Linked DNA regions of Astyanax mexicanus. The protein of the gene in region 1 purifies or fractionates together with the protein of each later gene. This does not show direct contact. Links are inferred from orthologs where the notes say so. Each region holds a gene or a part of one and is shown in the gene's direction. Other genes may lie near its edges.

Region 1 (7,501 bases):
AAGGTATAGTTAATATTTCATCTATCATCTATTTCTATTTATCATAATATCACACTTCATCAGTGCCTTTCTATACACACAAGCGCCTCATATAGCACCTTTCTATATACCCAATCAAGGGCGTAGGAGTGGGTTTGATATTGGGGGGGACACATCTGCTAATCTAAATCAAAGCCCACCTTACAGCGTCTCAGAACAACATTTGTGGAAATACTTTTAATCACAAATCAACCATTATTTTCTGTGCTTCTGTTTATTATTAGGTACATTCAAGTAAGGGTCACTTTACATTTACTGTTGTTAAAAAAAAGTATGCGTGCAATGTCTGAATTAAATACGTTCATAAATTAATTATGAAAAAACTGCTGAGGTATCACCTAATGTTGAAAACAATATAACAGATTTAATAATAATAATAATAATTATTATTATTATTATTATTATTATTATTATTGACATGTCAATTCTGTTATATATTTGTGTATTTACATTTACGCCACTCTTTTTTAGGGTCCTTTGGGTTTTTTTTTTTTTGGGGGGGGGGGGGGGGGGGTTTCGATTAAAAGTACTTCTTATCATGGTAATCTTTTATGTAAAAGAATGCAACCTTATGTTTCATAGAGATTTCTGGCAGAAGTTAATATAAACATTAGATAACCCAAACCCTCCTAGTCTATCATGAGCTTTTACCAAAGGACCAGATATATTCCATTAGTAAATCTAAGGGGCTAAGGGATACTCAATAAATGATGGATCAGGTGAAAACACACAATTTCAGGGCAGTGATCAGGGTTAAGAAACTGCTTTAAACTACCAACAAAAAGTATTGTACTAAATTCTGGCCATCCACTACATCCAGCTTCTAGGTATCTAGTTTGGCTAGCTAAAAGAATTTTCCTTCATTATAGCTGACAGTAATCCTGTAATCCTAGTCTACAAGTCACAGTGACTATCACAAACTGTATTTAATTAAGCTCACAGTGGGTTTGATCTCTGGGGTTTGATTTGTGTATTTTTAACCAGCTATCAGAAATAATCTTATAACAGTTTACATGGTTAGCTCCGTTACCTTTCTTTTAGAAAAATCGCAGTATATACAGACATGTTTTAACGTCAGCTCGCTTAAATTAAAAACATGCAACAAGAACATTAAAATGCCATATGGGGTGAACATTAAGTATAATAAATATAGTATGTTATATTTTATACAACAGTTAGTTCCGACCTCACAATCTGATTGGTTGAGAAGTGATCTAGCCGTGATGATATTTCATGATAACATCACGGCCTTCTCACACTAAAGTAACAGCGTATATACACAGGACACCCGCAGCAGCGTTAGCTTAGCACAGACTAGAGCTCAGCCGCGGCACGCTCGCCCGCAGCGCTGGCTCGTCTTTCGTGGAAAAAAGGGAACGAAAATCGCTCGGTTAATTCCGTCTTACAGCCAGAACGCTAACCAGCCAGGCTAGGCTAAGCTAAGTTAATGCTGAGCTAAAGCAAGCTTCGCTAACCTAACCACAGTCCAGCCAGCTAGCTAAAACCAACACCACCCAGGAAAATAAGCAGAAATGCTAAAATTCGCGGCTTTCACCTGAAGACGACTCCACGGAGCAGAAGAGGAGAGTATTAGTGTTATTTCACGCTCCTAACGTTACCATCTTCACTATTCCCAATTTTGCTTTCAAGCTAACTTTCGTGGTGTTAGTCTGCCTGAACCATACACTGTATGTAGTTAAGTTGTGGTGGAACTACTTTTTGGCGGAAGGCTCAGTCCATATTAAAGCATATTCAAACTGAATTTCTCAAAGTTCTTTGATTTATTTTCTTTATTTATTTAGTAATTTATTTAGTTGTATAAAAGCAATAGAACACTCGAGGTTGTGTGTTATCACGAATAACATTACAGCTGTGATTTGGTTTGGCTCGTGCCGTAGATCATCAAACTGAACTTTAAGAAAAAAAAATTTATTCAGTTTGAATATGCTTTATTTCGCGATAACACACTCCCTCTCGTGTTCTATTGCTTAAGTATAACAGATAGATAGATAGATAGATAGATAGATAGATAGATAGATAGATAGATAGATAGATAGATAGATAGATAGATAGATAGATAGATAGATAGATAGATAGATAGATAGATTAAAAGAATAAATTAAGTATAGAAGATAGCAGGTATCTATCTATCTATAGTACGTTTTATTATATAACAGTTAAATAATAAACAATAAAGATGTAATTGGAATTTAGTTTTAATTAACAGTCAGTATGAATGAAAAGTCAAAATTGAATCATTGCAACCACATTTTATTTACATGTCATTAGAGAATCTATTTTTTCTGGGAATTTAAACTATCCAATTTACCAATTTGTCCTTAAACCTAAGATGTCAGCACTGGAAAGCAAACTACTAATCACTAAGCCACTGTGCCACCCAATTCCTGCAATTATGTTGTTGTCATTGACGATTTAGTATAACTTAAAAAAGAAAATTTGAAAAAAAAAAACTATCTGTAAACATTTGTCTAGAATTTATTTATACTGCTTTTGAGACAGAATACCACTATTTTTGTTATTTCTAAAAAAAGAATTTTGTACAGTTTGATAGCACACCTCTAACTGACAACCTGACATGTACATGTATACTACTTCTTATTCAAAAGACCATTGCGCTACTTCATTATTATTCAGATTAGTAATTTATAGAGATGATGCATATTGTTGCTTACATATAAAAACGTTTCACTTATGTCAGCTGACATATTTATTTGACTTATCTGGGAAATTCATATTATATTAGAATTTAATGATTATTGGACTACTATAAATAATCCAAAATTCTTTACTTTTAATTTAATTGAAAACAAAAGTTTTTTTTCTCTTTTCCAGTAAAGTTGCCATTTTGAAGATACAAGCCTTTTCTGATTACATTTAAAGACAATGACAGACAGAGCGAGGGAGTTTTGATACAGGGATTTGGAAGAGGCCTGACTGATTTATTTAGAGAATCTTAAAAACAATCACTAGAGGGCAGCTTATTTGGCCTTATAGACAGGCTAAGTTTACTTCTAAACTTAACTATTTTATTTTACTACGTCCACAGGATCTGACTTATGAATGTATGTGTTATTTTTCTTTTGTGTATTTTGGTATCTGACTATAAGCACATTTGATTCTGGTTTTTACAGAACCATGATGAAAATGTCATAAAAAAAAGGATATTATATCATGGAAAAATCTTTAGCCTGGGAAATCACTTAAGCACTATTTTCAGATTAACTGAGATTATATTGTAAATATATATTAAAAGCTATATAGTTATTTGGTTGTTAATAGAATTGATTTATTTGTTAATGCAGCTCTATCCATTAGTTCCTGCTTAGTCCCAACATCACCATTTAACACCAACAAAATGCCACTACAAATGCCATTAATGTAAAATAAATTAGAATAAGTATGTAACGTTGTGTGTGAAAGTTAAAGGAGAAATTTGGTGTGAAATGGACTTGGGGTGAAGTGAAACATGATGATGAGTACAAACTTTTGTCGAATAGTCCACCTCTATTCACCGCTTTTAGCCGATAATCCCAACAGGTTTACAATGCTAGCAAAAGGGGCATAGAGTTCACTAATTTTACAACATTATCACTAATTTTACACTATTAACAAGATCAAAGTAGCTCCACACTTTATTGGTAGAATTCCAAAAGACCTGACATTTAAAATGAGGCACTGAGAGCTTTAAAAGTGCACCAGCAGTTCTTTAAAAAGACTGTTTATACACACAGTACCCTGAGGTAGTTATCCGCATGCTGCCATCTTGAAATTAAGTCATGATAATTTGACTGACAAGCACGAAAGAATAGCTGGGATAAGAGAGCAGACTGCCAAATTAATTCATTGGAAATGCCATAAGCAGCGCTACGTCCCTATCATTAGCACTGTAAGCCTGTTCAGAGCATGCGCTAAAGTGCTGTATTTTAGAATCTGGGGTTGAATGGAGGTGAGATATTCAACAAATGTTCATACTTATCATATTTCACTAAACCCCAAGTCCATTTCACACCGAATTTCTCCTTAAACGCTGCAACTTTGTCCACAGCAGCCATTAACTGTAATGAACTCACAAACAACTCACGTGAATTCCATCACAAGCATTCACCCCATTTATCCCCATTTTATATTGTTTAGTTTATGATGAAGCGCTGATCTGGGGACTACAGTATAGAAAACTACAGGCTGTATTTAACCCGCTGTCTCAGCAGGGGGCGCCAACGGTCACACTGTCAGTTCGCGAGAGAATGCACCAACACCGATCTATATCCCTCCGCCACACAAACTAGTCCCCGGGAAAAATGTCCAAATCGGTAGACTCAAAATAACACATCCCAAAAGCACCACGCGACTCTGATCCAAATACATCTAAACGCACCATTACATTGATCAAATAATCCGCCTTTAGACTTTAAATATATTTCATATTCATAAACTGTGTACATCCGCGGCCACAGCGCCACCAAGCTCGTACCCGTCGCCGTGTGATGACGCCGGACGTGTGGCTATTTGCATTGTTTTGGTTCGTGCAGTTTGTTATTTAGAAAATCTCCTGAAACACTCCGATTTTGTCAGATACAGGTCAGTGACTCTCTTACTGTCCCCGCGGGCTCGCCTGCGCTGCTCTCAGCCCGTGTTCTGGTACTGAAGCGCCGTTAGAAGCGCTGTAGTTCAGTGTAGTGTTGTGGAGCCGCTGCGGTCGGGTCGCTGCTGCGGGTCTAAACACGATGAGCTGAGTTTATCCTGCACGGCGCAGAGACTCTAATAATCAGGGTTTTAATTAGGTTCAGATTACAGTCACAGCTGTAGCTACAGGAGAACTGCGATAACTAGATGTTTCGCAGAGGCTGAATTTGACTTAATTTTCTTACTCGGATTTCTCATTCCACCTTAACTGGTGCAGCATATCCACACAGGCTGTGTCTCAAATTTATACAAATAAAGTATTATGATCGCAGAAAATCACGTATTTATGTCTTAGTCTGTTTCGCTCATTCATATCGCATCCTAGTAAGTTACCTCAGTCTGACCGCATTTATGACAGCAAGTTGTCAGTGTTTTAGTTAGCTAATAATGTTTTTAATGTAAGTGTAATGTGTTTGTAACACAGATTGCTAAATATTGTCTACAGTCTAATGAGACAAATACCTAACGTTACAGGTTCGGACACAGCCACTCGGTGTTTTGGGACGGGCAACAAAAGGTAACGTTAGCGGTAGCTAACGCTAGGTTAGCTAACAAATGTAATTAGCTAGTTAACTACCAAACATGGTTTCTTAGCTAGGATAGGTTAACTAACTTAGTTACATTCTGAAAAATTTAAAGTGGAACTGAAAATTCTTTAACCCATAAGAGGCCATACCCATTTCTGAATATTGATAAGGCACCAAATTCAAAAATAGAGAATATAAGTTAAATAACATTCCAATTTGCAAAAAAAAAAAAAAAATCAGGGAGGCGCCCCCGGACCTGGACTTGGATAGTGCCCTAACTCAGTGTTTCTCAACCAGGGTGCCGGGGTGTGTCCCAAATCACAGGCAGCACTAATCGCGCTAATTGTGACGCGCTATTTTATTTCATATTCCGCCAGCAACACCCCCCGTTCTCACCTGAAGTACTGCGCCATCATCCCCCCCCCCCCGTTCTCACCAGAAGTACTGCAACAGCACCCCCCCCGTTCTCACCTGAAGTACTGCGCCAGCCCCCCCCATACCCCCCCCCCCTCGTTGTCTGAAGTACTGCGCCAGCATCCCCCCCCCCCCTTCTCACCTGAAGTACTGCGCCAGCACCCCCCCACCCCCCCCCCCCCGTAAACTGTGGTGCCTTGACATCTCGCAAATATTTAAAGGGTGACGTGATAGAAAAAGGGTTGAGAAACACTGCCCTAACTTAACTGATTAGACTAACACTTATTTTATTGTCTGCAATGCTGCCAAGACTTGCCAGTTTCGCTGTATAAAAGGTAATAAAGATATACCCAAAAATAAACACAAATAGCAGAATTTTGTGCTTTGTTCAGACTTGGGTTAGTAGGTATAAGTAAGAGGAGTGTGCCATATCGTGTTTACCTCTTCTCATTCAGTGTGTTTAATTTCTTTTTATGATTTTGCGTTGTAAATTTAATATTGAAGTCATTAAAGCTGTACAGGAATATGTAGAAATATTTTGTAAAAAAGTATACTTTTATACTTTAGATTACCACTGAGGAAGTACCACCCAAAAATGTATTATGTATGGTATTATGTTTGCAGATTATGTGATAAGTGCAAGTACTTAATATTCTGCAATTTAGTATTGTGACAGATTGTTTTGCTACATTAAATTGTATTCATGCTACATTATTTATTTATTTATTATTTATATTCATTAGTTTATACAAATTGCTTTGTAAATTACTTTAATATTCAAAACGATCGATTTTTGTTTGTTTTGCTGAATGATTGAAACTGTTAAGCTTACATGAAATAAAACTTTCTTTTTGTATTGCAGTAAAATATTTGTTGAAATGTAATGAAATATTTTTCCATGTTTCTTTTCCATATTACTAATAATATATTTCTTGCAAAAATGCCCTGAAAAATTGTGAAAGAGATACAGAATGTGACCTTATGGTTATTGTATATCGTATGTGTGTGTCTGTGTGTGATGTTCTGTAGTTCTGTTTAGTGTGTGAAGAGTAACAAGATATGGAAGAGCAGAGTGCTTCACCTGGAGCGAACACAGATAACAGCAGCCAGAGGAATGGAGAGGAGGTAACACTGTAATTAATGATAATTAAATATTTTGAATAAAATGAAAGTACATAAAATAATCCATATCAACCAGAATCATTCTCTCTATCAGCATAGAGATGTCTTTTCTGAGTATTCTATCACTGTAGAAGATGCAGATAGAGAGGGATGAATAATGATTTGATTTAAACTTTAAGATTTTGAATTTGGTCTCAGAGACTGTCTTTCTCTGGCCCTTCAGAAACCACGCAGGGCAAGTTGGACTAAAGGAAGGAAGAGAAAGAAGCCTTTAAAGGACAGCAATGCACCCAAAGCTCCCCTAACCGGATATGTACGATTTATGAATGATCGGCGGGAGCAACTGCGTGCCGAGAGACCGGACGTACCCTTCCCAGAAATCACCAGGATGCTTGGCAATGAGTGGAGCAAACTGCCGCCTGATGAGAAACAGGTGAGGAGACTTTATAAAAAAAAAAAATTAAAATGTAGCAAATCGAAAAATATATACATACGAAGAGATTGCTAAGCTGCTGCAAGGCCCTTAACCCTCTCTGTTCTCTGGACACTACAACAAATGCTGCCCATTTCCCTGGGCACATGTGATTCAAGATTCAATTCAAGATTCAAGATTTTTATTGTCACGTCACAGAGTACAGGTGTACATGTGAGTGAAAAACTTGGGTGCAGATTCCCACCAATGCGCAAAGAATAAT
Region 2 (7,327 bases), on another chromosome or scaffold:
TTGTACAGAATAGTTACAACTGTACTGAGAGATTTTGGAGAGAATTTGCTGGTAATACACTGTATATTTAATATTAAATTAACATTTATTTGACAACCTTGAGCTGTACAGTTGGCATCATTTTCAATTTAAAGAGCTAACAGAAACCTACCAGTTAGTCTATTGATAGTTTCCACACTCGGTGACTAGCCAAACAAATGTCCTACAGCAGCATTAACATATGGGTAGGCCTGTCAGAAAAAATCTAATCTAATCAACCTATCCTACAATATATGGACATGACTTCAATCATTCTGCTGACCATGATATTATCCGTTATGTTTATTAAGCTAAAATAATCTAATAATGTGAATGAGGCAAGATGCCAACTTTATTTTCATTTAAAAAGTGGTATTACTTTATCTATGTATTATTTTTGAAAGATATTTTATTAAATAATATTCCAATTCCAATGTCTAAGTTCACTGTTTTGTAACAGTGATGAGTAAAATCATTATTGTGCTACTGTATTATCATTATATCAGTGGGATAAAATTACATTAAAAAGCCAATAACACCATTTATAGCTTTTATTTTAAAACAATATATCGTCTATAGAATCTGATCATCATTATCATCTTCTGATACCACATTTCTTTTGTGTTTTCTTTCTTTTTATGATTTTTGAAAACATTAAAAGTTATACAGGAACGTGTGTGGAATTATTTTGTAAACTAAAAGTGTTAAACAAACCAGAATACTCTGTACTTTAGATTCTTCTAAGTACCACATTTCACTTTGATGGAAGATCTGCAGACTCTTAGTATTTATATCTCAGTGTCTTCATGAGGGAGTGTCACCTGGAATAGTTTTTTATGCATCTTAAAGGAGTTCCTGGATGTGCTGAACAATAGTTTCACGCTGTGAAGCTCCAGTTTCACTCCAGCTTCTCTGTTGGGTTTAGATCAGGGAATTGTGGAGGCTAACCAGTTGTAGTTGTTTACTACATAATTCCATATGCATCCCTCAACTGTTTAACATTTAGTTCTTTAACATTAATCTACATGTAGGAAATACAATAAATCAACTGGTATGTGTAGTGTTTTTCCTACTGAATAGACTAGGTTTAATTATGTTACTTAAGATTAATCTAAAAGAAATATGAAATCTAGTCTGTGTAGTAAATACCCTTTTCCTAGACTGACAGTTCTCCATTGAAATTAACTTATTGGAAATAAAATGTGACTGTTATTTTATTATCACTTTTGTACTGTTATTTTGTTGAAGGCTTAACTGGCTTGTTTGGAGAATTTAACCCTTTTTATGTGTACTCTAAAGGAATAGTCTCCCCTTTCCAGAGCATCATTTTCCCTTTCTGTAAGTAATGATTTTAATGACAGCTAATTCTTAATTATGCTTACTACTGTTTTTTGACTTAATATCAATGCTTTGTGATAACTAAAGCATCTGCCACCCCACTTGGGTGTTTATGTCACAGAGAATTAGGAAACTAACAAATACACATTTGATGTTACTAAGGTTGGTGGAAACTACATAAGACTAATTGACAGTTGGTTTGCAAGGGACTGTTTTGGGGCACACTGGTAACTACTGCACGTGTTGTGTGTAAGAAAAGACAATTATGGCAAAACCACATAAAAAAGCAAAATAATAAAAAACCTAACACAACATAAAAACATAGCAAGGAAACTAAAGGTCCCTACTTAAAAACATTGAAAAGCCTGTAGTCACACTGGCCTGTTATTGTTGAGATTTATGACCCCTAATATGAGGGATTGTACAGGCAAAAACACAATAACTGTTAACGGCTGTAATGTTGACTGTTGGTTGCCATATTTTCACAAAAAAAACTATATAATTAATCATAAAATATTAGGATATTAATAAATGTATCATTTAACAACAAAAATGATTCCTTCAGTAAGTTATTTATCCACACTGACCTTGTATAATGTGAGACTAGACTGATTTCATATTTAGGCAACATCAACATAATGTACAACAGCAAATACAGGCAATAAAAGAGAGGTGACAGTGATGATGACGTTGATGGCTATGATGATATCCCAAAAGTGTTTTGATGCCAAGAGATAAAAAACGGTTGCTTTCCAGCACAATGCAGTGCCATTTGTCATCGGGCAAGGACAGTCGTAATCATCCCTTTCGCTCGCCTCCCCCATCAGTCTTTCCCTGCCGTGTATCAGGATCAATCTAGGCTCATTTATTTTAATCGTCTCCTGTTTTGCTAAACTTGCAAAGTCAAGGGAGGACAATAGAAACAAACCTTGCTCTGAAAACAAGCCAAAACAGTAATTTCCCCAGTCACACTAAATGTTCTTGCCATTCTGTGTTACACATGCGTATTTCCCTGCATGTCAACCTGTTAGTTTACAGTTTATTTCACAATAAACATGTTCGCCTTTGAACAAAATGATATTTAGCTTGAATTTTCCTCTATTAAACAATCTGTCGAAAATGTCATGGTATGTAAATGAGGGCAAGGTAGCCACCTAACACACGGTCTAATGTTGTCTTTAAGCTCGGTTACTTACCTCGGCCTCGAGGCAAAAATGACCTTTTCTAAAACAATGGAATAATGAAGATCAATAGTTTACATTTGCAGTGTACGACGGGATCGGAATGAATATTCCACTGCATCTGACTCTGACTGAAATTGTGGTGTGGAGATAGTGAAAGATAAGGCATGCTACATGACCCTGTTGACTCTGAATCTTCTGTACTATGAGCTTTTGAGCTGGCTGTGCACACGAGGGAGGCCGGTAGCCATGGTGTTATACTCTGAATGTCAACACTAAGAATGAGGGCATAAATAAAGCAGAAATCAAACCAAACAGAAACGTTAGGTCCACTGAAGCAGTCCTCAGAGCAAACTCCGTATCAGAGCTGGCAGAATTTTTGAAGTATGCTGTCAGAAGAATGATTCACCCATTTTCAGTTCATTTACACTATGTTTAATATGTGCTTATGACGTTCTTTTTTTAAATAACTGTATACAATCACTGTAATGATCAACTGACCTGTAATAGGGAGAATAGTGTACATATTTCATCATGTTGCTACTCCAGGCTTGGCACAATATAACTTTGGAAAAGTAGGAACGACAACACTTGTGCAACCTGTGGGCCATAAAGATTCATATTTGTATGTTTCTGTATTATTACTCTACTGCCTCTGTTGTCATGCTTATTCAACTTTCTGTACCTATCAGAACTCCAAAAATGCACGAAAACCTGTGATTTATGAGAGGTGCAAATTCCCCTTTTCATCTGTAGGGTTAGCCCATGAGCATAAAAATAACATATATCACATGATGCTGCTTTAACTAGCAAGCTGGGTATCTTGCTGGTCATTCTTATCAAGCTGTAAAACAAGTGTCAGTGTTACAGGAATAGCAGCACAAAAGTTGGATTTGAAAAAAAAAAATGTTTTGGTTAAAAAAAACTAAAGTGTACTTGATATTAACAAAATACTAACAAAAAAATGTTCCACTAACTGAGGAAATCATTTTATAAACCAATGTAATGATTAACAGCGTCACTGCGGTGTCTCCAATAATGCAGTTGCTAGCTAACAACAAATTCAATTTTTTCAAGATACTGAAATACTAGTAAAAGTACTAGTAAAACACTGACAGTAAGAAACTTACAGAAGCAGAGTAACTACTTTTCAGAAAACATTTTACTTTCATTTTCACTTTTTACTTTTTAAGTTTTTGTCCCTAGCCAGCTGGCATTTCAACGTTGAATAAACATTGAATCAACATTTCAACGTTGAAACAACAACAGACATTACTTTAGTCATATTTCAAACACATTTCGACGTTGAAGGTCGGCTGTGTGCCAGCTGGGTAATGAAATTTTTTCCTCATACAGTACTTGTGCTTGAGCCAATACTTCAACTTCTACAGAAGTATTTAAAACCCTATTATCTAAAATTCTACCCAAGTAATTAGTGTGAACACTTTTGACAACTTTGTAATTCCCTCTCCTCTGCTTTAATCCTTATAACCCCATTGACGCAAATTGTTTAAAAACTCGTGCATTGTTTATACAGCTTAATTACTCAGAAATGCGTCAACGAACCAGCATGATTCATACATTGTGACAAACAGGGAACCCGTGTTTTGTGTAAAAATAGCACTGACCTCACACTGAACGTAAATGTTTTTGAGAAATATTTTGTGAAATCCACCTAAAGAATATGGCTTACCTTCATATTTCCATGCTTTATTCTTTTATTATAACGCCATTTTTTGTCTTAAATAATCAGCGTGTTTACGTTCACTCCGGGGTCTGAGGTAAATCTCATGACGTTATTGCTGGCGCTGATTCATCAAAAGAATAAAAGTAAGATAATTAAATTATAACCGCTAAAAACGTTTTTTAGCCAATAATATGTACTTTTAGTGCTTCTAAAATATTTTTATGAGGTATGAAATCAAATAATATTTGAATAAACCCAGTAGTGTCCAGATGGTTTTAGCAATATGCATCTCAGAGGTGGGAATATCAAGAAAAATGAATCCATAAAACCTGGTGATGCTCATGTAACGTTATTCTGTCACAGTTATAAGCCATGTAATGAAGTATCATCAAAATCTTTATAATTTCAACTAATATACACTCATATTATTACATATTACTGACAAGAAAACTCTTGTGTGAATTGATTACATTGATGTACATTCATAAATAAGTGGAAAAAAAAACAGGCGCTGGGTATAATTTTGATCAAAAGATGATCAATTCCATGAAGATTTACAAATTCTGGAAACATTTACATCTGAATAATGATATTTTTGAGCAGTTCAGTGTCTTCTGGCATAAATAAAAATAATAGCATGTGGCTCCTAACATAACTATGCTATAACAAGTGAAAGGAAAACGGACAAAAACGGAGAAAAAATACACCAAAATAGGCTGGGGTTCAAAGGATTAAAAAAAAAAAAAAAGTTAAAGCACACCAGGCAGCATATTGGAACACGACCGAAGACGCTGCCTGTGCTTAGTGCCCTACAGTATAAGGGCTGCTGGTAGTCAGCGCTGCGTTGCTATGGTATTGAAAGCTGAGATCTGTGGATGGGGGGTTGCTACGCAGTTCTAAGCACGATTTCTGCGCTCTACGTCAGCACACAGTGAGTACGTAGTACACAGAGTCCGAGAGCAGCCCATTGTACCGCTGAGCGGGCTAGCTATCTGAGACCGAAGCCTAGAAAAGTAGGTGATGTGCTACATTGTGATTAATGTTCTGCAGCAGAAAATGTCATATATGGGTTACTGAGCTGATATTTAAGTGTGCTGCACTTTAACCGGATTTTCTTTGTGATTCTGTGTGTTTTTTTCCCAGGGTTGATTGATGCTATTGCTAGCCAGGGTTAGCTAGTTAGCAGGCTAACTTAGATAGCTGGGCAGCTTTGAATGAGTGAGTTGTAACTGTTACAATGTGTTTGCATGAAGATTACTAGTTAGTAAAATTGCGTTAACTGCAGTTTAACCCTGCGCAATCGTCTCGTCTTTCCTCTACGATTATTGTTTATTTTACTACTTAATTCTTCATCACTGGAGAGCTTTTAGTTAGCTAGCTAGGTTAGCGAACCTATATACATTTACACTGGCTGATATAAGGTTAGCTTAGCTAGGGCTTGAGTGGCTAAGCTAGCCAGTACAAAAAAAGCTTGGTTTTAAACGTCATAAATATGAGTCTTGGTGTCTGATGGTCCTAATATTCTGGTTATTTTCATTAGCTATTTAATCGATTATCGTATACATATATGATTCCCAAGCGACAGTCAATCTGACAAGCTTGCTAGCTAGCCCGTTTAAAAAGGTAAGTTACCTAGTAAGCTAGCTTAGCTAATTAACTAGTGCACTGTTTGTGTTAGGGAACGTTAGCTAACCTAGCTAGCCATTGAAAGGTTCCTGCCTTCTTTAGACTTTGCTTTTGTTATTTATTAAGCAGTTTCCTTTTATAAGAAGGGTTTTCAAAATACCAATATAAAATGTATCCTTTATTACAAGTTAGGTCTCAAATGTCTGTTCCAGCTTGTATTAGCTTTTGGGATATCACATTTGTAAACAAAGACTGGACCGAAGTTTGGATGCTTAAAAAAAATGTATTTTTTCCAAATAAAGTCGTGATGATGAAATTATAATTTATAGCTATAATTAGTTGTCTGCGTAACTATAAATTGGCTAAATTTAACCCTGCTGTTATGTTACTTGTAAATTTGTTTGGGTCTTTGCATTTCAGAAGAAAATGACTTTATTACGAATTTAATGTTATATTTAGCAAAGCTCTGTATACACCTATACAGCTCTGGAAAAAATAAGAGACCACTTAAAATGATGAGTTTCTTTGATTTTACCAACTTGAAAAACTTTAGGAATATAAATGTGTTTTCTTTGTATTTTTTGAGGTCTGAAAGCTCTGCATCTTTTGTTATTTCAGCCATTTCTTATTTTCTGCAAATAAATGCTCTAAATGACTATTTTTATTTGGAATTTGGGAGAAATGTTGTCCGTAGTTTCTAAAATAAAACAGCAATGTTCATTTTATCTAAACATATACCTATGCATAGCAAAATCAGAGAAACTGATTCAGAAACTGTATTGGTCTCTTTATAGCTGTATAATATTCATAGAGAAATTAGTTTTTTTTGTTTTTTTAAAGACTATTTTGCTCAAAAATACTTTTAGCAATTTATGCTGTTAAGGTCTGTACTACTTATGATAGAATGTGTCCCTTGCTACTCTTGTACTCTTATTAGCTCTTATATTGTCACTCGTGAACCTAGAGCTGAACAGTATGAAAAAAGAAAAAAAGCTGTATCACAATATATTTCTAAATTTTGATCGATACAATACAATTCTAATATTAATACAAACAGTACAAAAGCACCAGCCTTGGTGTACATAATCACACACTAATAGAGCTGGGTGATATGGTATATGGGTATAGTATATCATAATATTGAAAGACATTTTTACAATACACAGTATTTATCATATGTTCACTTGCAGGCAAATGCATCAACATAGGCATTTGATGCTATTAAAATACTCTTTCATACATAGAACTGCTGTGCTAGGTGATTTTTTATTATTTTTTGCTGCACTTCATTCAATTAAATCAGATTTTTTACACTGTCATAAAATCTACAGTTGGGTAAGTGTTCTTTAAGTACTGATAATATTATCGATATGCTTATTGTCAATACGATACGAAAATGTATCACAATAAAATGTTGATATATTGTTCAGCTCTTCTTGTACCTTTGTTAACATTTAATTCGCCTCTTAAATCATCT

Evidence for each region. Proteins that work in one complex are often made in the same cells at the same time.
Region 2: the proteins of hmg20a (region 1) and phf14 purify together in Homo sapiens (affinity purification with mass spectrometry; 3 studies listed by BioGRID and IntAct, counting the BioPlex papers as one, with this or other methods). This does not show direct contact. The link is inferred for Astyanax mexicanus from reciprocal best matches to the Homo sapiens genes HMG20A and PHF14.

What each region holds. Positions count from the first base shown.
Region 1 is NC_064409.1:44,231,694-44,239,194, forward strand, and holds the start of hmg20a (high mobility group protein 20A), read left to right. Parts: upstream 1-4,498; 5' UTR 4,499-4,638; intron 4,639-5,217; 5' UTR 5,218-5,260; intron 5,261-6,713; exon of another isoform or gene 6,714-6,723; 5' UTR 6,724-6,743; coding exon 6,744-6,809; intron 6,810-7,029; coding exon 7,030-7,239; intron 7,240-7,501. UniProt on the Homo sapiens protein: Plays a role in neuronal differentiation as chromatin-associated protein. Acts as inhibitor of HMG20B. Overcomes the repressive effects of the neuronal silencer REST and induces the activation of neuronal-specific genes.
Region 2 is NC_064410.1:40,950,976-40,958,302, forward strand, and holds the start of phf14 (PHD finger protein 14), read left to right. Parts: upstream 1-4,312; 5' UTR 4,313-4,327; coding exon 4,328-4,367; intron 4,368-5,074; exon of another isoform or gene 5,075-5,154; coding exon of another isoform or gene 5,155-5,155; exon of another isoform or gene 5,156-5,236; coding exon of another isoform or gene 5,237-5,237; intron 5,238-7,327. UniProt on the Homo sapiens protein: Histone-binding protein. Binds preferentially to unmodified histone H3 but can also bind to a lesser extent to histone H3 trimethylated at 'Lys-9' (H3K9me3) as well as to histone H3 monomethylated at 'Lys-27' (H3K27ac) and trimethylated at 'Lys-27' (H3K27me3).